Macaca fascicularis: one gene and its partners. The protein of the gene in region 2 binds, or shares a complex with, the protein of the main gene of each other region. Links are inferred from orthologs where the notes say so. Each region holds a gene or a part of one and is shown on either strand. Other genes may lie near its edges. The genes, in order: B9D1, TMEM237, TMEM216, TMEM67, AHI1, CC2D2A and TMEM17.

What was found.
Region 1: TMEM237 (region 2) and B9D1 share a complex: the UniProt entries of both Homo sapiens proteins name them as parts of the tectonic-like complex. The link is inferred for Macaca fascicularis from reciprocal best matches to the Homo sapiens genes TMEM237 and B9D1.
Region 3: TMEM237 (region 2) and TMEM216 share a complex: the UniProt entries of both Homo sapiens proteins name them as parts of the tectonic-like complex. The link is inferred for Macaca fascicularis from reciprocal best matches to the Homo sapiens genes TMEM237 and TMEM216.
Region 4: TMEM237 (region 2) and TMEM67 share a complex: the UniProt entries of both Homo sapiens proteins name them as parts of the tectonic-like complex. The link is inferred for Macaca fascicularis from reciprocal best matches to the Homo sapiens genes TMEM237 and TMEM67.
Region 5: TMEM237 (region 2) and AHI1 share a complex: the UniProt entries of both Homo sapiens proteins name them as parts of the tectonic-like complex. The link is inferred for Macaca fascicularis from reciprocal best matches to the Homo sapiens genes TMEM237 and AHI1.
Region 6: TMEM237 (region 2) and CC2D2A share a complex: the UniProt entries of both Homo sapiens proteins name them as parts of the tectonic-like complex. The link is inferred for Macaca fascicularis from reciprocal best matches to the Homo sapiens genes TMEM237 and CC2D2A.
Region 7: TMEM237 (region 2) and TMEM17 share a complex: the UniProt entries of both Homo sapiens proteins name them as parts of the tectonic-like complex. The link is inferred for Macaca fascicularis from reciprocal best matches to the Homo sapiens genes TMEM237 and TMEM17.

What each region holds. Positions count from the first base shown.
Region 1 is NC_088390.1:19,101,099-19,104,598, forward strand, and holds part of B9D1 (B9 domain-containing protein 1), read right to left. Parts: intron 1,492-3,500; coding exon 1,380-1,491; intron 1-1,379. UniProt on the Homo sapiens protein: Component of the tectonic-like complex, a complex localized at the transition zone of primary cilia and acting as a barrier that prevents diffusion of transmembrane proteins between the cilia and plasma membranes.
Region 2 is NC_088386.1:97,454,546-97,458,484, forward strand, and holds the start of TMEM237 (transmembrane protein 237), read right to left. Parts: upstream 2,801-3,939; 5' UTR 2,676-2,800; coding exon 2,634-2,675; intron 2,391-2,633; exon of another isoform or gene 2,012-2,390; intron 1,990-2,011; exon of another isoform or gene 1,923-1,989; coding exon of another isoform or gene 1,905-1,922; intron 218-1,904; coding exon 186-217; intron 1-185. UniProt on the Homo sapiens protein: Component of the transition zone in primary cilia. Required for ciliogenesis.
Region 3 is NC_088388.1:12,650,324-12,654,522, reverse strand, and holds the start of TMEM216 (transmembrane protein 216), read left to right. Parts: upstream 1-1,399; 5' UTR 1,400-1,419; coding exon 1,420-1,432; exon of another isoform or gene 1,433-1,446; intron 1,447-1,986; coding exon 1,987-2,088; intron 2,089-2,641; coding exon 2,642-2,734; intron 2,735-4,199. UniProt on the Homo sapiens protein: Part of the tectonic-like complex which is required for tissue-specific ciliogenesis and may regulate ciliary membrane composition.
Region 4 is NC_088382.1:103,447,012-103,450,511, forward strand, and holds part of TMEM67 (meckelin), read left to right. Parts: coding exon 1-57; intron 58-1,170; coding exon 1,171-1,270; intron 1,271-1,364; coding exon 1,365-1,504; intron 1,505-3,500. UniProt on the Homo sapiens protein: Required for ciliary structure and function. Part of the tectonic-like complex which is required for tissue-specific ciliogenesis and may regulate ciliary membrane composition.
Region 5 is NC_088378.1:39,505,506-39,509,005, reverse strand, and holds part of AHI1 (jouberin), read left to right. Parts: intron 1-227; coding exon 228-787; intron 788-3,500. UniProt on the Homo sapiens protein: Involved in vesicle trafficking and required for ciliogenesis, formation of primary non-motile cilium, and recruitment of RAB8A to the basal body of primary cilium.
Region 6 is NC_088379.1:14,621,825-14,625,760, forward strand, and holds the start of CC2D2A (coiled-coil and C2 domain-containing protein 2A), read left to right. Parts: upstream 1-1,136; 5' UTR 1,137-1,307; intron 1,308-3,936. UniProt on the Homo sapiens protein: Component of the tectonic-like complex, a complex localized at the transition zone of primary cilia and acting as a barrier that prevents diffusion of transmembrane proteins between the cilia and plasma membranes.
Region 7 is NC_088387.1:59,409,879-59,414,078, forward strand, and holds the start of TMEM17 (transmembrane protein 17), read left to right. Parts: upstream 1-1,400; 5' UTR 1,401-1,507; coding exon 1,508-1,607; intron 1,608-4,200. UniProt on the Homo sapiens protein: Transmembrane component of the tectonic-like complex, a complex localized at the transition zone of primary cilia and acting as a barrier that prevents diffusion of transmembrane proteins between the cilia and plasma membranes.

The DNA of each region.
Region 1 (3,500 bases), on a different chromosome or scaffold from region 2:
GAGGTTGAAATCATCAGGGGCCGAGCTGAAAGCCCTGTGAGGCTGCTCTGCTTCTATCTCTCCCTTATTCCTAGGGCAGCTCTTTGAGGTCTTAACCCAGTTTGGAGAGATTTATCTGAGGCCCTCCTCCCAACCCCTTGGAAGGCTCTGAACATCAGTTTTTCTTGTGTCCTGGGCCCAGGGAGGCTGTCAAAAGTCTTGATCAGTCTCTCAATCACCTCTATTGAAATCAGCAAACACTCCCAGAGGAGACAGGATTGGGGTAACCTCTCTGGATTTCTGTTCTCCTGGATCTTGCCTGGTAAATCTCTTCTACTTTGCTAGCTCTCTGATGCCTTTGAGGTAGTTGCTTTTTGTTTTTGCTTTTGTGTATTTCATTTACCTCTCCTACCTGTCCTCGGCAGGAGAAGACTGGTCCAGTACCTACAGTACCTATTGCACTGTTCTAGGAAGTCGATTGCAGCTTCCTGCTCATGGATGATGACAGCAGGATGGAATTCCCTGCTCAGGAGGACCACTAGGCATTTTCTGCTCCAGACCCTCTACACTGTGGTGAGCCTAGGCCCAGGCCACGTGCAGTAGAAAGGCCTAGACTGTGAAATCAGATGGGCCTGAATTAAAATCTACACTTGGCCACTAGATGGAAAGCAGAAGGCAAATGATGTCATTTTTGAGTGTCAGTTTCCTCATATGGGAAAAGAAATGGAGAGAAATCTCTCCAGCGGGTATGATTGGGAAGCTCGGATGAGTCCACACAGTGAAAGTATTCATAGTCCCCATGGAGACTAAGCCCAGGCTTTGTGCACAGTAGGCACTTATGAAGTGCAAGTGAACGATCAGAATGGTTAATAACCACCAGCCAAGGTAGAAAGTAAGCAATGCCAGCCAGGAAGCCCTTGGGAAAGAGGTTAGATACAGGACGCGGGAACGGTATCCAGACAGATGGATCAGCGTGAATAAAGCTCAGATGAAGGAACTTGAGGGACTAGCACAGAAGCAGCAAGTGCCAGGGTCTGGCCGGAACACAACACACCATGGGAAGTCAGCAGGCACAGAGTCAGGCCTCCAGGCCAGACAGCCGCAGCCCTGCATGCCAGGGTGGGGAGCCTGCCTTTTACAGGCGTGGCCACTAGGCCTGATGCACTCTGAACTTACAGAAGGCCAGCTGCACAGCCCGTAGCAGATGAAGGGGGTGAGCGGGAATGAGGAAGAATAGGAGGCAAAGGGACAGATGGCGAGAGAGAACGTTGAGGGCTGCTTCAGGAGCCCAGGTGACAATCTGAATGTGAACAGTCAAGGGCTGGATGAGGCAGAGGCTGTCTTGGGGGTGCTGTGTGAAAGCTCTGCCACCCTACCCCGCAGGGCCCCTGCAGACTCACAGCCGTAGGGGTTGGTGCTTTTAAAGGTGACATCAATGGGGAAGTTCCACACCAGTGCTTGCCGCACATCTTGGCTCTTGGACGTGATCTGTGAGATCCCCTCCTCCAGACCCTGTGGGGACAGTGACAGAGACGGCTGGATTCAGAGCAGAGCCAAGCTGCTGCGGCTCCTCCCCTTATCTTCAGCAGGCAGTTGGGAGGGCTGTTTCCTAAGCTATCTTCTCCCGGTACACTAACTTCCAAACAAAGGGGGCTAAGAGATGATGGAGTACCTCTTAAGCCTGTTCTATGACAATGCCGTAGCATGACAACCCCGGGAGGCCAGCCACTCTCCTGGGCCCAAGGGCACTAGATCTGTTCCCAAGCTCTTGCCCCCCTGAAGGAAATGGTCCAGCAGTGCTTGCACTCTCCTGCATCCCCACCCTCACCCGAGTATCCCCATCGGTAAATATAGATGTATTTTCTCCATCAAAAACAGTCCTTTTTCAATTCCGCTGCTTCTTCCACCCACCAATCCATTCTCTGCTCCCTTTATAGCAAAACTGCTTCAAAGAGCTGCCACAATTACCGGCTCCAATTCCTCCCCTGCTATTCTTTTGTGACCCCACTCCAATGTGACTGCTGGCTCCAGCACGCTACCAAAGGGTCTTCTCCAATAACGCCTGTGACCAACAGTGCTAGATCCAATGGTCCTTTCTCTGTCCTCGTGTTACTTGACTCATCGGCGGCACCTGGTGCAGCTGCTTACTCCTTGATACACTGTCTTCCCTTGGCTTCTGGGTCTCTCCACCGCACAGGGTGCCCCCTGCTCTGTGGCTCTTGCTGGTTCCTTCTCAGTGTTGCCGTCCTAAGGCTGCATCTTTGGCCAGCTTGTCTACCTGTACTTGGTGATCTCATCTGTCCCATGGCTTTCAATGTGTTCTAGATGTCGATGATTCCCAAATTCAGGTCTCCAGCCTGGTCCTCGCCTCTGCACTCTGGATCAGCACCTCCTCTTGGATATCCAGTGGGTGCCTCAACCTTAACCCACACCAGGCTGAGCTCCAGGTAGCTCTCCCCAATCTGTTCTTCTCACTGAAAGGCAGCTGCCCACTTCTAAGTGCTCAGGCTAAAAGCCCTGCTGTGAATCCTAACTGCTCCTTCTCTCAGACCTCACATCTATCAGAAGAAGCCAGCGGCTCTATCTTCAGAGTATACTTGCAGTCCAGCCCCTCCCGCCACCCCACTGCTGCTGCCCTACTCTCCCATCTCCACTGCTCTCAGAGCCAACTGGGTTGCCCGCTCTTGCCCTTTCCCCGAGTCTATTCTTGTCGTAGAAGCCAGGGAATCTTCTAAAAATATAAGTCAGATCACTTTCTTCTCTGCTGAAAGCTCTCCAATGGGATCCCATCTCCCTCTGAGTAAAGGTCACAGTCCTTACTCTGACCTTCTAAGTTCTACAAGACCTGCCCAGGTGCCCCTCTGCTCCAGCTCCAGCCACTCTCCTGCTGGCTTGCTCTCCAGTGGCCACACAGCCTCCTTTCTGGTCCTCAAACATGCCTGGCAAGCTCCTGCCCCAGGGCCTTTGCACTCTCTGCTCTTTCTGCCTGGACAGTTCTTACGGGTTTCCACATGGCTTGTTCCCTCACCTCCTTCAGGTCTTTACTCGAAAGTTACTTTCTCGGCAAGGCCCTCCCTGGCAGCCTTAGCAAGATCGCAGCCTCCCTCTCATCACTCATCCCTGTCACTTCCTGGCTTGGTCTCCCTTTGGCACTTCTGGCTTACTAACATCCTAGAATATGCACTCCTTATTATCTGACCCCCAGCAAGAACATGCACTCCGGGAAGGCAGGGGCTTCCGGTTTGGCTTTGCTCACCCCTGCATCCCCGGCACCCAGAAGACAATCAGTGAAGGGAAAAGATGGATTATCATCTCAGTTGTACAAACAAGGAAACTGAAGCTCAGAGGGCTTAAATAAGTTCAGCCTCCTTTTCTTTTCTTTTTTTTTTTTGAGGCAGAGTCTCACTCTGTCGTCCAGGCTGGAGTGCAGTGGCGCGATCTCCACTCACTGCAAGCTCCGCCTCCTGGGTTTACGCTATTCTCCTGCCTCAGCCTCCCGAGTAGCTGGGACTACAGGCGCC
Region 2 (3,939 bases):
TCAATTTTAACTGCTATTCTTATAATTCAAGGATTTTTCACCTTTAAAATTTCAGAAAATCCCTAAATTTTTCAGAAGAGTTTCCAGAATCATTGTAATTTTGCAATGATACTAGTTAATTTTTCTACTGTCTTCGTTTTCCATTTTTAAAGCTCAATAATGAAATTACTGTAAATTATGTTTACCTTGGCACAGGTGGAAGGGCTCGTGGAGGACGCTGTGGGGGAAAAAAAGAAATTTGCTTGTAAGTAAAAGCCTAGAGCATCTTTACTTCATGTATCCCAAACACCATAAAGCTATTCTTTTTTTCCTTTTTTTTTTTTTTTTTTTGAGACAGAGTATTGCTCTGTGGCCCAGGCTAGAGTGCAATGGCACGATCTTGGCTCACTGCAACCTCCATCTACTGGGTTCAAGCAATTCTCCTGCCTCAGCCTCCCAAGCAGCTGGGATTACAGGCACCCACCATCATGCCCGGCTAAGTTTTGGTTTTTTAGCAGAGATGGGTTTTGCGATGTTGGCCAGGCTGGTCTTGAACTCCTGACCTCAGGTAATCCGCCCACCTTGGCCTCCCAAAGTGGTGGGATTACAAGAGTGAACCACTATGCCCGGTGAAACCACTTCTTTCAAAAGTCTGTTGTTCAGACATGACAGAAAAATATAATGGATCGGACCAGGATCTTCAAATCTTTTGATAATCTTGTTCATTAGTGAAACCTGGGAGGTACTGATGAGAAACATGGGCAATTTAAAATTTGTTCTCCCATTCTAAATTTCATATAAAATTATTTCCTTCCTACATTCCTTTCTATCTCTAGGCCAGGCCCTTTTCTAAGCATTAGGAGTACACTAATGAACAAAACGGAGAGAACTCTGCTTTTATGGAACTTACATTCTAGTGGTTATTAGAAACAAGGTTAAATATATATAATATATACTATATATTATATGCAGCATGTGTAACATATATATGCTATATTTAAGACATATATCTTGTATACATACCTTGTGTATATATACACAAACACAAACACACAAAACGTAATGAATGAAGGAGACTGAGTGCTACTTTTGTTAGGGAAAGTTTCTCTGAGATATTTGAGCTGAGACCTGAATGAGAAAGGAGCAACCGGAACAAATGCAAAGATTTTTAGGTTAAATTGGGCCTGGAATATTTCAGGTAAAAGGACAGCAAGGCTGCCGCACAATTGCCAAGGAGGTAGGCAGGAGCCAGATTTAGTTAGGGCCTTGCAGACCAAGGCAAGGAGTTTGGATTTTGTTTTAATTCAATGGGAAACCAATGGAAGTTTTAAACCACATACTAACACAAATTTTTAAAAGGCCACTTGAATATACTGGGAAGAATGCGTTTTAGGGCAGAAAGAATGGTGGGGGGAACCCTTCTAAACGCTCATTTATATGAATAAGAAAAGTGTTTGCAGTCAGAGAGCATTACAGTTGAGAAGTATTTTCAGAATTAGATACTAAGAGAAATGCCTAGAAGCCAATTTAATGTTCCAAGTATCTCATGCTGCTTGCATAAGACATTTATTCAAAAGGGTTAAATTTTAGACATTTTTGTAGTTTGTCCCATTTAGCAATCCATTCGTTCGAACAGTAGATTAACGCAAGTACTACAAGATTAGGACGAGGCAAGCTCCCGTAATACCATCCAGTAGTCAAAATCACAACTGGAAAAGAATGACAATCACGGGAACGCGCTTGTTCTACAGATGCTACGAAACGCGCGCGATCGATCCAAGGACTCAGTTCACGTAACTGATTTCAAAAGTCCCGCAAAAATGACATTCCACCCACCCAGAGACCCAACCTCTACTCCTCAAAAGTAGGACGGCTCAACTGAAGACAAAAATCCTAACAACTAAAAGTAGCTAAGGCTCGCTTACCACAGGATTCTTCCCCATTCTGTGTTTAGCCGGCCTCGGCAGCCGCCGGCCCGCAAGCACAGGGCGCCCCACCCCTCCCGGCTCTGTCGCGCGCGCAGGCGCAATGCGTCATCGGGCAGCGCCGCCGGGTGGGTAAGTTGGGGTGAGAGACGCGCAGGGACCTGGATTGGCCAGTCCAGACTAGCCCTGCCAAAAAAGGGGCCTCTGAGTTGGGGTAATGTGCCCAGGAGCAGAGATTCGGCGACCGTGGCGCTGCAATCGCAGCTTTCCCGTGGTTTCCTAAGTGGTCGCGGTGATTTGTTTGCGGGGAGCGAGGCGTGAGGGAAGACCTTGGTTAAAGGACTCCGCAGGCAAACAACGATCTTTTCTAGGCAGCTACTGCCCTCTCGGAGGGGGAGTCTATGAGAGGCCTGGCTGGAAGCCCCAGCACCCGCCGGGCGCTGGGCCTCAGAGAAGTGAGGCGTCGTCGTGGCAACGCGGGCTCAGGTACCCGCAAACTTCATGCCAGGCCTCTCTCCCCTACTCCAGGAGTTCGGTCCCGGCCTCGCCTGGGTCTCCGTCCCACTCCTGTGAATGCTGGAGGGGCGGACGCGCGCACCCCATGAGCAAGGCTCTCCCTTAGTGATCCCCAGCTCGTTAGCGCCCCCCCCCCCACACACACACCCCCACCCCGCCAAGTGTAGCTTTTACCCGCCACCCCTCGAGGCCGACGCGCCCCTCGCCGCTCACCAGGTGGCCCTCCTCCAGCCGAGCCCCCGAGTCAGCCCTCATGGTGCTCTCCCCGCGGGGCTTCCCCGGCGCAACCGCCGGCGGCCCGAGCCCAGCTCCCCGCGACGCTGCAGCCTGCGGGACGCCGGGGCTTCGTGGCGCCTGGCGTGGCCGCCTCCCCGTGAGCCAGGTCCCCGCCCGCCTCTGCCCTGCCAAGCATTGCTGGGTTTGGGACGAATGTGTTTACTCTCTAGGACCAACGAGTCTGTGCGGGCCTGGGTGTGTGGATGTGTATTAATATAGGCAATTCTCACATTTTCTCCGATTGCTTACCCTTCATCCCACAACTGTGTAAATCAAATTTGGAAAAACTTTTTCTTGAAGAACCTTAAAATCAAATCCGACCTCACATAAATATCATTACAAACTACTTAATTTGCATAGTTTTATTTGGTTAGGTTTTTTTTTTTTTTAAGATAACTTTCACTTTAAGTAACAGAACTACAAATATTTTGAATCATGCATTCTATTTTACAGTTAAGAAAGAGATGGGAAAGATGGAAGAATGATGTGGATATGGAGAAGAGAATGATGCAGAAGATGAACAGATACAGGGACAGGGAAAGCGCCTGGAAATCTCAAATCTGGGGGAAGAAAGAGAAACAGGACTTTGTAATGGCATCCTAATCTTGTTACCAAACAAACGGGGTTTGTTGCCCTATATGCACAGAAGCCAATATTATGATGCTGGTTTTTTGAGAAAAGTTGTTATTGCGAGTCAACTAACAAGGAGACAGGAGTATAGCTCTAATCTGTCTCCCTGTGCTGGCTTTAAGACAGTATTTTTATTAGAAAAGGTTTAGGGAATGGATTCTGGGATTAGTAAATGATTGGTGGAAGGAAAGAAGCCATCTGGAAAATCTTTTGGCGTTCGCGGTTACCTCTTCATGTCCCTTCATGGGTCGCATGTGCAAATTTTGGAGGGAGTCAGTATGAAACATGGGGGAAGACTCGAGCTGTAATGCCAGCAAGCTCATTTTGTACAGACTTCAGGTAGCCATCCGTGTTAGTCCTAACCAATTTCAGCCAGTTTGCTTTATTTTGTTTTTTAATCTCACAATAGAAGAAGTTTAGGCGTTTTAGCAAATTGTTTTTTATCTGCTGTCCTGCACGCTCAAGAATTTCTGTTAGTCCCTGGTTTAACTCTGAGACACGGTTTCAGTCTTGTGATTCTTCTATATATAGGTCTCCTGGACTAATCCATTGCCTTTTCTAATTTAGGCATGCATGTAGATATTGGCTGTAAGGAAAATTCGTGTTTGTCACA
Region 3 (4,199 bases), on a different chromosome or scaffold from region 2:
CTCCCGCCTGTAATCCCGCACTTTGGGAGGCCGAGGGGGGGCGGGTCACCTGAGGTTAGGAGTTTGAGACCAGCCTGGCCAAGATGGTGAAACCCCGTCCCTACTAAAAATACAAAAAAATATTAGCTGGGTGTGGTGGGGGGCACCTGTAATCTCAGCTATTTGGGAGGCTGAGACTGGAGAATCACTTGAACCCAGGAGGTGGAGCTTGCAGTGACCAGAGATAGCGCCATTGCACTCCAGCCTGGGTGACAAGAGCAAAACTCCGTCTCAAAAATAAAATTAAATAAATAAAATAAAGCCTAGTCACCTTCCTCAGGTTACCTGGTTGGAGCGTGCCATCTGTTTCCGGCTTTACCCTGATTGACAACGGGCTAACAGCCAAGTCAAGTCAACCTGAGTACTCTCAAAACCCTTCTTTTTGCACTTCCCTGCCTGCAGCAACACGTTTTTGTTTGTTTTTTTGTTTGTTTTGAGACAGAGTCTCACTGTCGCCCAGGCTGGAGTGTGGTGGCACAATCTCGGCTCACTGCAACCTCCGCCTCCTGGGTTCGAGCGATTCTCCTACCTCAGCCTCCCAAGTAGCTGGAACTACTGGCGCGCGCCGCTACGTCTGGCTAATTTTTGTATTTTTAGTAGAGACGGGGTTTCGCCATGTTGGCCAGGCTGGTTTCGAACTCCTGACCTCAGGTGATCCATCGCATCGGCCTCCCAAAGTGCTGGGACTACAGGCGTGAGCCACTAAGCCCGGCCAGCAACACGCTCTTACCGCTGCAAACCCGAATCAGGCAGGCTTTGAAGCCCAGCTCACAGGCCGTCTCTTGGAAACTGACTTAGATTTCCACCTGGGAGCACTTTGTCCTCTCAGCTCCCACTGCACCGCTTTAGGGATCGCGTGGTGACTCGTTTCAGTTTATTTACGTGTGCTCCTGGAAAGGATGCTCTATTTCCCTAGTGTCTCTACCTGGTAGGTAAATAGGCCGCAGAAAAGACCAATGCTAACTCCCATCCCGCATTTGCAGAGATCCGTCGCTCACACCGTTTCTCGTCTTCCGTCGAAAAATGGGAATCGTGGGAGTAGGACCTATTTGCCAGTCTCCTGGTAACATTGTCACAACTGGCCACTTCCGCCCAACGCCCGGTAGCCCAAGGGCCTCCAGGGTCCTACCCCACAACCCCGAGCTCCTGCAGACGACGGCGTCGTGGGCGGTCACTGTTTTCCCTTAGGTCTGGAGAGGGGACATCCGAGCGAGGGCCACTTGCGGCCTGGCCCGAGCTCGTCCCGCTCCGGGTGACCACAGAGTGCCGCGGGCGGGCAGAGGGGCCGGAAACCCCGGCCGCTCAGTCCCTGTTTCCGGCAGCGCCGCGCTGCTCCGGGAGCAACTGTGGCAGCTTACGCAGTTTCCACGGGGACTGAAGATGGCGCCGCGAGGTGAGATTCCGGAGGTGTGTGAGTCGCTGGTCCCTTTCCCTTTGATCCCTCCCTCGCACCTCTGTCCCAGAGCTTGACCTAAACCCTCCATTCTGTAGCGTTAGGGACATCGCGCCTCCCTGGTCCAAAGCGGGCTTCCGCGGACCCGCCCACCCTGGGTCCCTGAAGGTTTCAAGGTGCGTGGCTCAAATAGCCGCAGATCCTTGGCTGGGCCACTTCTAGGATGGCTCAGGTACGAATCTGTTGGTCTCCACGCCCCAACTTCCCCTCCCAAATAGTGACAGGGTGAGATCTTTGAGATGTCTGTCAGCTGCGAGTTACCTCTTAACTTTTACTCCTGAAGCCGAAGAGTCGAGTTTCGCGGTGATTCCTGGGAAACGAGGGAAGCCTCCTCCACATCCACCCCGTACCCTCATTATCAGCAACCAGAAGTGCCCCTGGGTGGCCGGTCCCATTAGTTGCGGCGTCTGGTTTCCCCAGTTAGACACCAACCCATAGGAGCAGAGAGGGAGCTGCCTTCCTGCCCATCCCACTTTTCTGTGCTGCTGTTTCAGGTAAACGGTTGTCCTCCACCCCGCTGGAAATCCTGTTCTTTCTGAACGCGTGGTATAATGCTACCTATTTCTTGCTGGAACTTTTCATATTTCTGTATAAAGGTAAGGAAGGCATGGGGCTTGACGACAGCACCCCTTCCCCACTTCAGCTCAGAGCCAACTCCGACCAAGAACCTTCTTATTTTCCGCTCTTTTCTGCCCCCTGCGGTTCTTTGTCGCTGCAAGGCAGGCCTCCTCATCAGATGGCTTCTTTGAGTATGAGTATGGCATCCCCTCAGCAAGAATTTCTTGAGTTTGGGAAATGTGGGCTTCTCCATTCTGACTCTGCCCACATCACTGGTCTTTGCTGAGCTCCACTGTAAGCCCATTGATGACCCTTAGAAACTATTCAGTGGCCCGTGTACCCATGTGCATCCACTCATTCTGGAGAGAGGAGTCCCCAGAGTCTTTTGGAGTTAGGAGTAAAATGGCATAATAATGAGCCTGGGTTGCACTGTGAGTTTATGTATCCTGCAGCTGTAATAATGCCCACATTTCACTAACTAGCTCATGGAAAGCTGAGACTGATGTCCTTGAGACTGATGTCTCAAGTGTGTGGCAGTTCTTGTGGATGCTGTTTTATGCTATTTGCAAACTCTGGCTTTTGTATTCGCAGGTGTTCTGCTACCATATCCAACAGCTAACCTAGTACTGGATGTGGTGATGCTCCTCCTTTATCTTGGAATTGAAGTAATTCGCCTGTTTTTTGGTGAGTGTTGTCCAGAGAATATTTCCACTCTTTATGAGACAAGCTGGTATCTCTAACTTGATTAACAAGAAAAGTACATCACCTAGGTTGACTATCAGAGACTGGATCTGTATATCCCATTACTCCCTCTCTGAAGTTTCAAGTTGCTGCTTCATACATTGGGTCAGGATTTACCTGTTTGTTGCTCTGTAAGGCTAGAGATGGGCAATAGAATGGGATATTAGATGATTCCTTCCCAGCTGCCTAACAGCAAAAGGAGTGCCTGGTTCTTCTCACTAGTATTCTTGGGGGAGCAGGTTCAGTTGTAACTCCATGTCAGGGCAGGCAGCGTATCCTGCACAGATCAGTACTAAGATCCCTAACAATACTCTGAATAAGGATCTCTGTAGGATTTTTTTTTTTTTTTTTTTTTTTTGAGATGGAGTCTCTCTCTATCGCCAGGCTGGAGTGCAGTGGCACGATCTCGGATCACTGCAACCTCTGCCTCCCGGGATCAAGCGATTCTTCTGCCTCAGCCTGCCGAGTAGGTGGGACTACAGGCGTTCACCACTGCTCCCAGCTAATTTTTGTATTTTTAGTAGAGACGGGGTTTCACCATATTGGCCAGGATGGTCTCCATCCCTTGACCTTGTCATCCGCCTGCCTTAGCCTCCCAAAGTGGTGGGATTACCACTGCACCTGGCCGGATTTTTGGTTTTTTTTTGGAGACAGAGTCTCACTGTGTCTGCCAGGCTGGAGTGCAGTGGCACGATCTCGGCTCACTGCAACCTCCGCCTCCCGGGTTCAAGCGATTCTCCTGTCTCAGACTCTTGAGTAGCTGGGACTGCAGGCGCCCACCACCATGCCTGGCAAGTTTTTGTATTTTTAGTAGAGATGGAGTTTCACCATGTTGGCTATGATAGTCTCGATCTCCTGACCTCATGATCTACCTGTCTTGGCCTCCCAAAGTGCTGGGATTATAGGTGTGAGCCATCACACCTGACCGGATTTTGTTTTTTAAACATTTACTTATTTGAGACAGGATCTCATTCTGTCACGTAGGCTGGAGTACAGTGGTACGATCATAACGCACAGCAGCCTTGAAGCCCTGGGCTCAAGCAGTCCTCCAACTTCAGCCTCCTGAGTAGCTGGGACCACAGGCATGCGACATCATGCCTGGCTCATTTTGTGTTTTTTGTAGAGACAGTGTCTTGCCTCATTGCCCAGGCTGGTCTGAAACTCCTGGCCTCAAGCAATCCTCCCGCCTTGGCCTCCCCAAGGTGCTGGGATTACAGGCGTGAGCCAACATGCTTGCCCTGTAGGACAAGTTTTATAATCCCAGAAATAACAGAGCAAAACCCTTATTTGTTAGAATATGTCATCCCTGAAATAAATGGTTTTTTTTTTTTTTTTTTTTTTTTTTTTTGAGACGGAGTCTTGCTCTGTCGCCCAGGCTGGAGTGCAGTGGCCGGATCTCAGCTCACTA
Region 4 (3,500 bases), on a different chromosome or scaffold from region 2:
ATGCCAGTTCAGGAAGAACGTTTTGTCACTTATGTTGGATGTGCCTTTGCTCTGAAGGTAAGTTTTAAAGGACAGGTTACCAAATTTAAAAGGCCTGCTAATGAACTAATAAGTCTTTAAAATTAAAATGCTTTCAAAAATCTTTGGTGTGAAATTCACTTTGGTTTTGAAAGAAAGCATTAATTATTTTATGCAGTAAATTTACTTTTATTTGTAGTAGATGCTCAGTCTGAAAATCTGCCTTAAATATTTTTTTCAAAGAAGCCATAAATTTGTATGGCTTATTTGATAAAATGATATTTCAGTATATAACTTTCCTTAAAGTCTGATGATACATTCACAATGGGACAAAATGTCTTCAGGCATGAATTTTGTCTCCATTAATCAAGGATAAAGTGTTGAGATCTTAAAGCTGTTTTGTCTGTCTCCAGATTCCTTTGCTCCTTTCTTCCTATGACCCCCATCCTCAACTCAGTGTTCTCTATCAATGTAGGTGAAGCTCTTTATATGCCTCTTGATAGTCCTTATCCCATTGTACTGTGAATATTAAGTGTCTCCTTTTTCCACTGGCTGGGAGCTTCTCGAAGTGAAGTATCCCATACTTAGATTTTTATCCTTTATTTGATCAATAATGCAGCAACTAGAAAGAATGCCTCAGTTTAAACATATTGCTTCTATAAATGAGAAAGATGTGTTTCAACAACGCATTCTGTAAAAATCAGAAATCTTAATAGCAGAAATAGAAAAAACAGACAGAGCATTCAAAAACTTTAGGAAAAACAAGCTATAGTTGAAAATATCTTTACTTATAAAGAAGTCAACTGATCTACAAAACGAGGTGTGCTTCTAGAATCTTTGGGAAAGAGTCAATTATATAAGTCCCTATGTGAGGAGGAAAAATGTCTCCTCTTTTCATATTCCTATTTTAAAGAAATAAATAAAAAGGGAAGGTAAAGTAAAATGTATATGAAAATTCTGTGAATTTGGTGATTCCAGGTTATCTGATGAGCTTCTAATGATCCCCTAGTGGTATTATAACTTCATGTGAATTCACTTATAAACGTATATGTTCTTGTGATAACAGTATGTTTCTTAAAGAGTCAATATTGGTTTTATAAGCAGGCTTAATGCTGGTACTCTTTCAGGTGTTTTATTATATGTCATTCTCAGGCACTACAATTTTTGCATAAGCTCATATCGCAGATTACAATAGATGTATTCTTTATTGATTGGGAGCGACCTAAAGGAAAGGTTCTTAAAGCTGTTGAAGGTAAGTGAAATATACATTTGTACCAAAATTCTTTTGCTATCCTTGCAGAGCAAAGGAGGTAGAATTCTTTTACTCATTTTATTTTTCTGACCAGGTGAGGGTGGTGTACGAAGTGCCACTGTTCCTGTAAGCATATGGAGAACATATTTTGTAGCAAATGAATGGAATGAAATTCAGACTGTGAGAAAAATTAATTCACTATTTCAAGTACTTACTGTCCTCTTCTTTTTGGAGGTATAAACTGTTTTGATGTGATTATATGCAACTTACATGTACCTTATAAATATTAAACTAATATAATTCCAACTAAGTTTTCATGACAGTGGAAGATTTCTCTAAAGGTTGAAATATTGTTGTGAAGCCATTAAAAAGGAGTGACTTTATGTTATATATTTTACCACAATTTTTTTGTTTTAAGTTTACCATCTTAAGCATTTTTGAGTGTAGAGTTTAATAGTGTTAAGTCAGCCAGGCGCAGTGGCTCACGCCTCACTTTGGGAGGCCAAGGCAGGCGGATCACCTGAGGTCGGGAGTTTGAGACCACCCTGGCCACCATGGAGAAACCCTGTCTCTCCCAAAAAATACAAAATTAGCTGGGCATGGTGGCACATGCCTATAATCCCAACTGCTCGGGAGGCCGAGGCAGGAGAAGCGCTTGAACCCGGGAGGCAGAGGTTGCAGTGAGCCAAGATCGCGCCATTGCATTCCAGCCTGGGCAAAAAGAGCGAAACTCCATCTCAAAAAAAAAAAGATAGTGTTAAGTACATTCGCATTGTCATGCAAAATCATCATCACCATTCATCTCTAGAACTCTTCATCTTGCAAAACTGAAACTCCATACCCCTTAAACAACCCTGTACCCATTCCCTGCTACACCTAACCCCTGGCAACCACCATTCTATAATACTTCCTGTCTCTGTGTGTTTGACTGCTCTAGGTGTAAGGAGTGGCTTTAAAACCAATAGTTTGTATCAGAAGCCCTCGGGGATCTTTTGTAAAATACCTATGCTCGGGCTCACCCTTAGAGACTATGTTTGATTTAGTAGCTTTGAGGTAACCCCAGGTATCTATATTTTGAAAAAGCTCCCTACTCCCTGATCCGTATTCTCCCCTGCATTAGAATCACTATTATAAGTTTGATATTTTTCAACTAATTTTTATTGAAAACTTACTATAGACTATGTTCTGTGCTAAGAGCTGGGGCTAAAATGAACAAGATGCAACATATTTATTATACATTTGCAGTTATTTCATGGATTTAGTTGAAATTATTAAAGAAAGTATTCAGTACTAAGTGTAAGACTGAACATGGAAACCGTTTATATGGGAATAGGTTTTCTCAGGAATTATCTGCTTAATTAAGATTGAATATAAATCATTAACTCTTAGGTCTGTCTGTCTTCCTTCTTTTTTCTTCTTTCTTTCCATTCTCTTTCCCCTTTCCCTTCCTTTATTTTTGTAAAACTGGTAGAAGACTGTTTGTATCCTTAGAGCCTTTAAATAATATGAGCAATACTTCCAAAATTCACTTGAAGTAGTATTTTGGTTTTTCTTAAATGAACAGATAAAATTTATATATGTTTATAGTTTACAATACAGTGTTTTGATATATGTATTCATTGTGGAATGGCTAAATCAAGCTAGTTTATCTGTTACCTCACATACTTCTTTTCTTTTTGAAGTTGTGTGTGTGTGTGTGTGTGTGTGTGTGTGTGTGTGTGTGTGTGTTTAGGAGTTTCCTCAGCTTTAAAAGATGTTACATGAAAAAGTTTTATAGTCAAGTTAGTTTGGAAAATATTGGATTCAGTATAATCATGTAGTACCTTTTACTGTAAAACTTCTCAGAGCCTTTATTCTACAAGGGTGGGAAGCATGGAGGTGAGTGTAATGGATGGACCAAATGTATTTAAACATAGATTATTTTTTCAAAGAACTTATGCCCTTTAGAAGACATTTTGTAATATACTGTTTTAAAGTATAAAAATGTTTAGTACAGTGCCTGGCACATGTCAAATACTCATGAAATACTAGTTGTTGGTTTCACTCATTGGTAGTTTACTAATGAAAGTTTTATCCTTTGAATTAAATTTGTATTCCTGTCAGTGTGTATGACAATAAGGTTATATTTGACCCTTAGTCATATTGAGAAGAATGCCAAATGAACTAACTAAATATTGTGTAATAAATACTTTGTAGTTAAGATACTGGATAATAATTATTTTTATCTAGA
Region 5 (3,500 bases), on a different chromosome or scaffold from region 2:
AGTTAACTCATTTCATCTGAAGTTACATTCAGAGATTGCTTATCAAATTCTGCAAGCATAAATTATGAGAGTACTCAAATGCTCTAAAATAGTATCACTGTGTCCAGGTGAAAAACTAAATAATCCTCCCAATAATTCCACATTGTCAAACATTAATTATTAGGTTTTTCTTTATATAACTAATCTATGCATAACTGAAACTTTGTTATCATGTCTTCTTTTCCTAGCCTGACACTGTTAGAAGCAATCTTCCCCATATTGAAGAAACTACAAGTGATGATGTAAGTGCTACTAACACTAACAACCTGAAGAAGACCATGAGAGTCGCTAAAAACAAATCGAGGAACACACAGTCAGCAACTGAAAATCCTAATGATGATGTTAGTGTAGAGGAAGACAAACGAGGAAAGCCAAATAAAAAGGTGGTAAAGACGGTGCCCCAGTTGACTACACAAGACATGAAACTGGAAACTCCTGAGAAGGAAGTTGATTCTACACACCAGAAAGCGCGTACAAAACCACAGCCAGGCATTGATCATCAGAAAAGTGAGAAGGCAAATGAGGGAAGAGAAGAGAATGATTTAGAAGAGGACGAAGAACTGATGCAAGCATATCAGCGCCATGTAACTGAAGAAATGGCAAAGGAGATTAAGAAGAAAATAAGAAAAAAACTGAAAGAACAGTTGACTTACTTTCCCGCAGATACTTTATTCCATGACGACAAATCAATCAGTGAAAAAAGGAAAAAGAAAAAGAAAGTTCCAGTCTTCTCTAAAGCTGAAACAAGGTATTTTTACATTGATAAATGTAAAATATCCTCTTAGAAAAACACTCTATTATTATCAGGGTTTGAATATTATCTGTGGTTTAACAAAGAAAATTCTTAGGCTTTTATTTGGAGACATTGCCACTAAGATAAGAACACCTAGCTTTTACTAACACCTTACTATGTACTAGGTGCTTTACGAGAATTAACTCATTTATTTCTTATGACAATCTTATGAGGAAAAGTAATATTCTTCCTATCTTGCTGATGAGGAAACTGAAGTACAGAACTAGTAAGAGGCTGAGCCAGAACCTTGTCTCTATCCTGAACTACTCACTTACATCTGCTTTCTTTTTTTTTTTTTTTTTTAATTTATTTATTATTATTATACTTTAAGTTGTAGGGTACATGTGCATAACGTGCAGGTTTGTTACATATGTATACTTGTGCCATGTTGGTGTGCTGCACCCATCAACTCGTCATTTACATCAGGTATAACTCCCAATGCAATCCCTCCCCCCTCCCCCCTCCCCATGATAGGCCCCGGTGTGTGATGTTCCCCTTCCTGAGTCCAAGTGATCTCATTGTTCAGTTCCCACCTATGAGTGAGAACATGCGGTGCTTGGTTTTCTGTTCTTGTGATAGTTTGCTAAGAATGATGGTTTCCAGCTGCATCCATGTCCCTACAAAGGACACAAACTCATCCTTTTTGATGGCTGCATAGTATTCCATGGTGTATATGTGCCACATTTTCTTAATCTAATATGTCACTGATGGATATTTGGGTTGATTCCAAGTCTTTGCTATTGTGAATAGTGCTGCAATAAACATACGTGTGCATGTGTCTTTATAGCAGCATAATTTATAATCCTTTGGGTATATACCCAGTACTGGGATGGCTGGGTCTTATGGTACATCTAGTTCTAGATCCTTGAGGAATCGCCATACTGTTTTCCATAATGGTTGAATTAGTTTACAATCCCACCAACAGTGTAAAAGTGTTCCTATTTCTCCACATCCTCTCCAGCACCTGTTGTTTCCTGACTTTTTAATGATCGCCATTCTAACTGGTGTGAGATGGTATCTCATTGTGGTTTTGATTTGCATTTCTCTGATGGCCAGTGATGATGAGCATTTTTTCATGTGTCTGTTGGCTGTATGAATGTCTTCTTTTGAGAAATGTCTGTTCATATCCTTTGCCCACTTTTTGATGGGGTTGTTTGTTTTTTTCTTGTAAATTTGTTTGAGTTCTTTGTAGGTTCTGGATATTAGCCCTTTGTCACATGAGTAGATTGCAAAAATTTTCTCCCATTCTGTAGGTTGCCTGTTCACTCTGATGGTAGTTTCTTTTGCTGTGCAGAAGCTCTTTAGTTTAATGAGATCCCATTTGTCAATTTTGGCTTTTGCTGCCGTTGCTTTTGGTGTTTTAGACATGAAGTCTTTGCCCATGCCTATGTCCTGAATGGTACTACCTAGGTTTTCCTCTAGGATTTTTATGGTATTAGGTCTAACATTTAAGTCTCTAATCCATCTTGAATTAATTTTCGTATAAGGAGTAAGGAAAGGATCCAGTTTCAGCTTTCTACTTATGGCTAGCCAATTTTCCCAGCACCATTTATTAAATAGGGAATCCTTTCCCCATTTCTTGTTTCTCTCAGGTTTGTCAAAGATCAGATGGCTGTAGATGTGTGGTATTATTTCTGAGGACTCTGTTCTGTTCCATTGGTCTATATCTCTGTTTTGGTACCAGTACTATGCTGTTTTGGTTACTGTAGCCTTGTAGTATAGTTTGAAGTCAGGTAGCGTGATGCCTCCAGCTTTGTTCTTTTGACTTAGGATTGCCTTGGAGATGCGGGCTCTTTTTTGGTTCCATATGAACTTTAAAGCAGTTTTTTCCAATTCTGTGAAGAAACTCATTGGTAGCTTGATGGGGATGGCATTGAATCTATAAATTACCTTGGGCAGTATGGCCATTTTCACGATATTGATTCTTCCTATCCATGAGCATGGTATGTTCTTCCATTTGTTTGTGTCCTCTTTTATTTCACTGAGCAGTGGTTTGTAGTTCTCCTTGAAGAGGTCCTTGACATCCCTTGTAAGTTGGATTCCTAGGTATTTTATTCTCTTTGAAGCAATTGTGAATGGAAGTTCATTCCTGATTTGGCTCTCTGTTTGTCTGTTACTGGTGTATAAGAATGCTTGTGATTTTTGCACATTAATTTTGTATCCTGAGACTTTGCTGAAGTTGCTTATCAGCTTAAGGAGATTTTGGGCTGAGACAATGGGGTTTTCTAAATATACAATCATGTCATCTGCAAACAGGGACAATTTGACTTCTTCTTTTCCTAACTGAATACCCTTGATTTCTTTCTCTTGCCTAATTGCCCTAGCCAGAACTTCCAACACTATGTTGAATAGGAGTGGTGAGAGAGGGCATCCCTGTCTTGTGCCAGTTTTCAAAGGGAATTTTTCCAGTTTTTGCCCATTCAGTATGATATTGGCTGTGGGTTTGTCATAAATAGCTCTTATTATTTTGAGGTACGTTCCATCAATACCAAATTTATTGAGCGTTTTTAGCATGAAGGGCTGTTGAATTTTGTCAAAAGCCTTTTCTGCATCTATTGAGATAATCATGTGGTTCTTGTCTTTGGTTCTGTTTATATGCTGGATTATGTTTATTGATTTGCGAATGTTGAACCAGCCTTGCATCCCAGGGATGAAGCCCACTTGATCA
Region 6 (3,936 bases), on a different chromosome or scaffold from region 2:
CCCGCCTCCCCACAACATTGTATTAGGGATTAAGTTTCCAATACATGCTTTTGGGGAGACACATACAAATCATAGAACATGGAATGCCACACAGGACCACATAGGGAAGAACCAGTGTTGGTCAGAAGGCAGAAGGGAGACAGCAGAGTACAGAGCAGAGCCTTTACTAGGGTTTTCCCAGGAAGGAATAGGTGACACAGGGTAGGGTGCTGAGTAAATTTAGGACTAGATAGCTTGAATAATCGTGGTGTTCTCTGGGCTATAGTGGTCTGGTATCTGGACCTGGGGTGACTTGGGACAGGAGGAATATTGGCTTAGTGTGTGAGAGTTTGAAAATGGAGATGGTTGGTTGTGTGGGCTCTGGATTGGCTGGCTTGTATATAAGACTTTGCATATTTCAGGGGAATCATTTGCTATCTCTAGAAATTAGCTAACCTAGGAGAATCAGTTTCTCCAGGATCAAGGCTCCAAATGCCAGAGCATCAAGAATACAATCAATACACATACACACAAACGTACACACAAAATACACACAGATACAGATACACACAAACACATGTGCACATACACACTAGTCTATTTGGAGTGTGGTTTCCTTGGCTCCATTCATTCTATTACTCTTCCAGCTACTTTGCCTCTTTCCTCTCTCTCTCTTTTTTTTTTTTCTTTTCAACTGTTTTGAGCCATAACATTTATATCCGTTTTTAGGAATTGCAGTGGGATTCAGAGAATAGGCAAAAATTAAACTTGTGCATTCAACCTTCCACTTTTAACTGGAAAACACTTGAGCGCAACATTTGCTGGTACCCTGCAGGACCTCCACAGAGCTTTTGCTGCTGCCACGTTAGACAGCTTCACCATGTAATGATGATCTTTTAAGATTCTAAATCGCCCCACCTCTGAGCCTGTTCTTCACTGGAAATGCAAGACGACCAGATGACATGAGGGAGGGGCGGCTCTTAAGGCTTAATCTAATTTGCAGTGCTGCCCATGTTGATTTCTCTCAGTCCTTCTCCAGCAGGCTGTGCGTCTCTGCTTACCCAGCATGCTTGTACTCCACTACTGGAAGTAACCTGTCACTTTAAAAGAAAAAAAAAGCCACCGAGTGACCTTCCTTAGGAACGGGTTGCTAAGCTGGTGTTTTTGCTCCAAGACATGGCTGCAGCTTCCCAGGGAGGAGCCCAGGGGCATCTCCAACACTCAGCCTTTCCCTCCGGACCCTTTTAAAAGATTCTACAGCACCATCTCTCTCCACTTCCATCCTAGAAAGCAGAATCTGCAAAGTGCCTTTTGTAAAGTTTCTTAAGGTAAATCAGTCCCTAACCGGACTTTGGGCTGCAACAATGATTTCCTGTTTTCAGTTACCCGGCTTGAAATTCAGTCTCTCCCGGATACCATGAGACTGGATTTAATGAATTGTAAATTTAGGGGCTCTCATCATTATTTATGTTTTTACTTTCTGAAATGGGAACATAGACCATTACTTGGCAGCTTTGATTTGAGCTGCTATCTGGTATCTGGTTTGCAGGAAATGTAAGTCCAGTTCATCACAAGCCCTGAGTGAAAAGCTCTGTGAACCATTAGCTGCATGTTGCACTTACGGGCCTTTTAGTTCAAACTGGCTTAAGGTGAGAAGCACTAGTTACTGCGAAATACACTTTTCTTGGTATTAGACAGAGAAAGGGCTACTAACCACAGTGCTGAGAGTTGCTGTGCTGTCCAAAGACTTCAAGAAAATCTACTGGCTACAACTTAAGCTGACTGTTTGTTTCCCCTCATTGCAAAGAGGTGCTATGAAAAGCTAATAAAGTCGAATAAGATATATGTTTGCTATTGCATTTTCATATAACCTTTTCTGCAAATAAATTCAGTGCCAGCATGAAATCTCTCTCTCTCTCTCTCTCTGTCTCTCTCTCTCTGTATATATTTATATATACACAAATATATATATCTCCTAGAGCCCACTTATAGAGTCATTCATTCAAACATTTATGGAGCATCAACAATGCACCAGGCAATGAACTTAAGTTTAGAGGGTGCAAACATAAATTAGACCAGGTCAGAAGCTCAGAGTTTGCTGGGAAAATAGACCTATAAACACATGATAAGAGTACAATGAGCTAAGTGCCATAAGAGATTTATAAAACACTGAAAGCACAGTGGGATGACATCCAGGGAGGGGCTTCCAGCACTTACCACATTGTGTAAATGCACTGGCCATATATCATATAACACAGCTCAAATATGGTCCCCATATGTACTCTTCAAAGCCAATGTATATTATATTGAGCTGATTCAATGATTCTATAAAGCTATTTGTCACTAACCTTATGCTAAGGGAAACTGCAGCTGGAATAACTTATAGAATAAGACAATGTATTCCAAAAGAATGTATGTGGCACCTCCCCAGGTGTCCAAGCTCCAGGATGGAACAGAAAAATATTCTCACGGTGTGAGGAAGAAAATACTCCTGGGTAGAAGTGCAGGAGGTTGCAGAAGCACCATACATGGAAACAGCAAGGCAACTGCCCTGGGCCTGGCTGAAGGCAACGAGAGATGGAACATGAGTTATGGAAGCTGGGGGTTGAAGATTGGAGCCAAAGGTGGGTGGGCTTGAAAATCACCTAAGGTCTTTTTCATGACTCCTCTTCTATCCCCCAAGCTCTTTTCCCTCCTCATTCCTTTTTTCCACTTTCCCTCCCCACAATCACTTTTTCTTATTAACAAAACCTACCAATATTAAGAGCCCAGTCTGTGCTAGGCATTTTGCTACACACATTTCATCATTTAGCCCTTATAAATTAATCATCCTTCAAGGTAGGAAGTATGATTGCAATGTTGCAGACAAAAAAAAAAAAAAATGTGTCTCAGAGAAGGGAGGACATTGTTCCAAGATCACACAGCTAATAAAAAAAGCTGAAGTTGGAACTCAGGTCCACATATTCCTTGGCAAAGAAATACGTGGGCCACTCTTCCTATAAACCCATGTTTTTGCCATCCTGGAGTAGGGCATATATATTGCATGATTTTTTAAGCAACCAATATGGAGTTGAGATGCATTGTATCTCAACCTACAGGTATGGCTCTGATCCACTGATGACTCTTAAGAATAGACCATTTATTCAGATGAAGGTGTCAGTACTTTCCTTGAAAAAAATGTTTGGTTTTCTGCACTGAGTAAAATAAATAATTGACTTAATGTAGCCTAAGCCTTTTCTCACCAGTGCTTCACAGCTTTCAACTGTAAATATTTCCAGAATAGTGGGCTATTCTGGAAAGCATAGAATAATTATTGATGCCATTACAAAAGTAAGAATAAATGGTGAGACAAAGGGGTAGAGTGGAGTGAGGGAGGACTTGGGAATCAGAGTCTTGGGGTCAAGTTCTGGATGTGACATTTAATAATTATAACCTTGGGCAAATCATGCAAACTGTCAGAGCCTCAGTTTATTCATACACAAATTGGGGCACATACTGCTAAGCCAGATATGTTATTGTGAGGACTAAAGAGAACATATGTCTAGAGTTAGCACAAAATAAGTGTGCAGTAAATCATAGTTATTTTGATGTTGTCAGTAGGAATATATTAACAAGTACCAATGCATAAGATGATGGCAAGCTGCATATTAAAACCATGCAGTACTGATTTATGTTTTCTTAGCAACAGTGTTCATATAAAAAGTAAATTTCGTTGTCATTTGATTTCCTTAGAAACTCATTTAAAGGAAATGATCAGGAAAGAATGAGGAGAAAAGAAAATCCCATTACATTTTTCATTTTCTACTTCTATTTTTTATTTCATATAAAGCGTTTTTTAACTTATAGAGAACTTTTTTTAGTTACTAAAATATTTCACAGATTTTTTGTTTGTTTGTTTTGGTTTTCTTTCAGTTTGCAATGACCGGAGTTGTTTATTAGAGAACTCTTGTGTACTTT
Region 7 (4,200 bases), on a different chromosome or scaffold from region 2:
AATATGCAAAACTGAGAAGCAAGATGACAAAGGGAGTGTCACATCTAGAAAGTGGTGCAATAAGATGCACAGCTAGTGCTGCCTTGTGACTCTAAGATCTACCTCCTTGAAAAGTTTGCCTGTGGCAAATGTGGCTCGGCTCCCAAGCCAAGACAAAGTATAATTGGAGTGCCGAGGCTAAAAAACAAAATACCAACGAGACTGGTCGAATGAGGCACCTAAAAATTGTGTACAGCAGGTTAAGGCATGGCTTTTCTGAAGGAACACCACCTAAACCCAAGAGGACAGCTGTTGCAGCAGGAGTTCAAGACCAGCCTGGCAAACGTGGCGAAACCCTGTCTCTACTAAAAACACAATAATTAACCGAGTGTGGTGGCGGGCGCCTGTAATCCCAGCTACTCGGTAGGCTGAGGCAGAAGAATCGCTTGAACCCGGGAGGCGGAGGTTGCAGTGAGCCGAGATTGTGCCATTGCACTCCAGCCTGGGCGACAGAGCAAGACTCTGTCTCGAATAAAAAATATATATATATTTGGATTAGTCACACAATAAATGTTCCGATTTAAAAAAAAAAAAAAAGGCAAAACTCTCCTTTGCTGTTAGAATTCAGGAAAGGTCAGTTATGAGTGAGGAGGGGGTTTAGTGACTGAAAGGAAATAGGAAGGGGGAGTTTCTGGGAATATTGTAACGTTTCTTGAACAGGGTGCTGATATATTAAGTAATATATCTTAGAGAGAAAGCTAGAAAATACAGAAGTGTTTAAAAATTTTTGAATCACCTACAATCCCACTATCCAGTGATAACTGTTAATATTTTTTTCCAGTTTTTTTTGAAGTCGGTGTGCACATGCTCTCTCCTCCCCTCCACTCATACACATAAATTTTGCTAAATTAGGTTTATTCTCATTTAGTTTTATTTCTGCTTTATTTTTACATAAACTATATCATTCAATATTCTTTGCAAGCATTTTATAAGCAGCTGAAACATACTCCATTGAATGCATATGCTCCAGTACATTTAATCAGTTGCCCATTGCTCTATTTTCTTATTAAAAAATAATCAGTCATAGTATCTCTCTCTCACACATACCCCTACACCTCTAGACATTCTTTAAGCTCTGCATTCATTCTCTATTTCCCTCCAGAAAGGTTGTACCGATTTACAGTTTCACTGGCAAGATATGAGGGCTCCTTGTATCGCAGTCCAACCCCAGCTCATTTCTTAGTATAGGTTTGTTTTTAGGATGGTCGGGCTCAAAGCAGAACTAAGAGATCTGCCGTTTTGGACACGGCCGAGGCACGCAGCTCCCGGGGCCTGGAACGCGCTCTGAGTACGCCGGTCCCTTCAAGGTTGCGCGGGCTCCCGACGAGACCCGGCCCAGCCGGGCACCCCCGCGCGCTCCCGGATCTCGCCGGCCTCGCGCCGGCCGGTTGCCATGAGAACCACGGAGCCTCGGAACGCCCGCAGACTAGCCTGTATCTGAGGGGGCGAGGGATACCGAGGCCCAGGCATGGAGCTGCCGGATCCGGTGCGCCAGCGGCTGGGAAACTTCAGCCGGGCTGTGTTCACTGATTCCAATCGGACCGGTCCGGAGTACAGTGAGGGTCCCGGTGAGTGACCGAGGCCGGCGCAGGGGGTGTGGCCTGCTGAGGGCTTGGCGTGGGTTTTGGAGCGTCCAGAATTTGCCCGTACCTAAAATGGCGATGTCGCCTTCAGTCAGTTTCCCGCAGTGCGGGCCAGAGCCTTGGAGGAGGGGCCGGCCGGGGCGGGGAGCTGAGGCGCTGGCGGCCTCCGGCCGCGGGCTGGGCCTGGTCTGCACGCGCTAACGCCTGGCCTGCTCCGTGCAAGCCCGGCAGCTGAGGTGGGGCCGACCTCTGTGCCACGCAAGGCCCATCATGGCTCCTGGGAAACCCCAAAAATAAAAAGATAAAAGCCGCCCTTGCTGCACAGGCTAGTCCCCCGCGCACCGCGAGAGCGAAGGCCCAACTTGCTTTTCCTCTGCGGCGCCCGCCCCGGCTTTTCTGTCCAGGATGGCGAGGAACAGCCCAAGCAATCCCCACCTCCCCTGTCCCCACCCGCCGCCCAGGGAGCAAATTTGCCTTTTCCCTTTTCCTAGCAGAACAAGTATGTTCCTAAGCAAGGCCATTTTCTGGCAGAAAAGATTAGGGGGAAAAAATTTTTTTTTTAAGAGTCCTTTCAAACCACCATCCACTCCCAACTGGCATGTGCCATACTAGCCGGACGTTCAACAAAACTCACCCCTTCCCTGCCTTCTCCTCCTCCTCCCCTATATGTAACTCTTACCATAAGGTAAGAAAATACCATAATGCCTCTGCATCCTTCAACTTGATGACAAGTGATAACACAGTTTCCTCCAGAACAGGTTCCTCCTCCTACATCATGATGGTAGACAACACACTGTCAACCAAACCCGTGTGGTTTCCATCATTCAAGTCTGCTGGGAAATATAAATCTTTTCCACTGCTTGGTTTTACAGAATTTTTAAAAGGGACAGAAAAGTAAAGGCAGTCCCCAAAGCTGCATTTTGTCGTCTTGATCACTTGCCTATTCCCCAAATGTAGGCCTTTATGATTTAGGATGTACAGAGAAAAATGTGAAAAAATTAGGTTTCACGTTTCTGGTTCCAAGGATGAGGCTTAATGAGCACTAACGTCTGATAATACAAGGTAAAAAGACGTTTTCTGAAAAGGGCCAGATAGTAAGTACTTTAGGCTTTGTAGGCCATATGGTCTCCACGGCAGCCACTGACAATAGTTATTGAATAGGCATGGCTGTGTTCCAATAAAACTTTAAGGATATTGAAATTTGTATTTCGTATGGATTTCACGTATGAAAAAAATATTACTTTTTTAACCATTTAAAGGTGAAAAAACATTTTTAGCTCATTGACTGTACAAAAACGTTTAGGCAGCTGACCAGTTGTTTACCTATCCCTGATTTATATTGTATGTTTTAATTTAAATTCCATTTATAGAACTCAACTTGAACTTTTGCAAAATTCAGTAAATGTATATCTTATGCTTTTAAGGTTCATTTACATATTAATTTGATTTTCATTTCCATGATTATAAGTTTGATCTGCTGAAATATGGACATAGCATAACCTTTAAGATGTTAACACACAATACTTCTAACATAAAAACCGTTCTTTGCAAAATTTGACTACAGTTTCTTCTCAAAGGTACTGAAATGTTCTGCTTGCCCAATTTATTATTCTTTCCCGTATTTTGTTCTTTGTGGATCAGAAGTAGGTTTGATTATTTGTACTGTAATAACAAATTTATGTAATTACCATGTCCACAGCATTGTGCTGTTGCTATCAGAAAGATCCTAGGCTGGTGAGTTGTCTTCAGATTTAACAGATTTTAAGAATTCATTCATTTATCAGTGGTAATTTAATAAGCAGTTGCAAGCAAAAGTAGATCATAATAATCAGGCATATTTTTGGAGCTAAAAGAAACTATTTTGCTGCGAGAGACCATGACTGTTTCTTATATTTTAAAATTATTAAATGACAGATAAAAACACTCAACTATGGAGAAAAGGAGAAATAATGTTCTTAAGACATTTATTTTAGGACCTTTAAAATCTTACGTGTAGAACAACTGATTTCAATATATGTGTCCGCTCTTAAGAATTTAGTCAAATTTAGGATGTATTTTGTAGGGTTCAATTTTAAAAATCAAATTCTTAATTTAGGACCCTTCTGTCTTACATAAAAGCAAAAAGTGTTATGGAATCAACCTTAGGTAAATGGAACTCATGTATCACAAATGGCTATACTAGTAATGTCCTTATGACAGTATGCTTACATTAATTCATTCTTATGTGTATTTGATATTCACTGCATATAAAGCAAGATGCTAGATTCTATGAGGGTCTCAAATTAGGGTGGGACATGGTGTGTGCTTGCAGATAAGTAGATAAATAGAAGAGAAGAAGGAAAGGGGACTAATATTTGTTGAGTGCCTACTAAGTGTGCCCAGCACAGTGCTAGGAAGAAATAATTCATATTGGCTCTAATTCTCACAAGCAGCCTGTAAGGAAGTTTTAATTTCACTATTTTACAGATGAAGAAATAGAAGCTCAAAGAACTTAAATAATTTATATAAAGTCTGACATCCAGGGTCACAGAGGTTTGGGGAGCTTGGGTTTGCTTGAACTCTGAAGCCCGTGATCTGT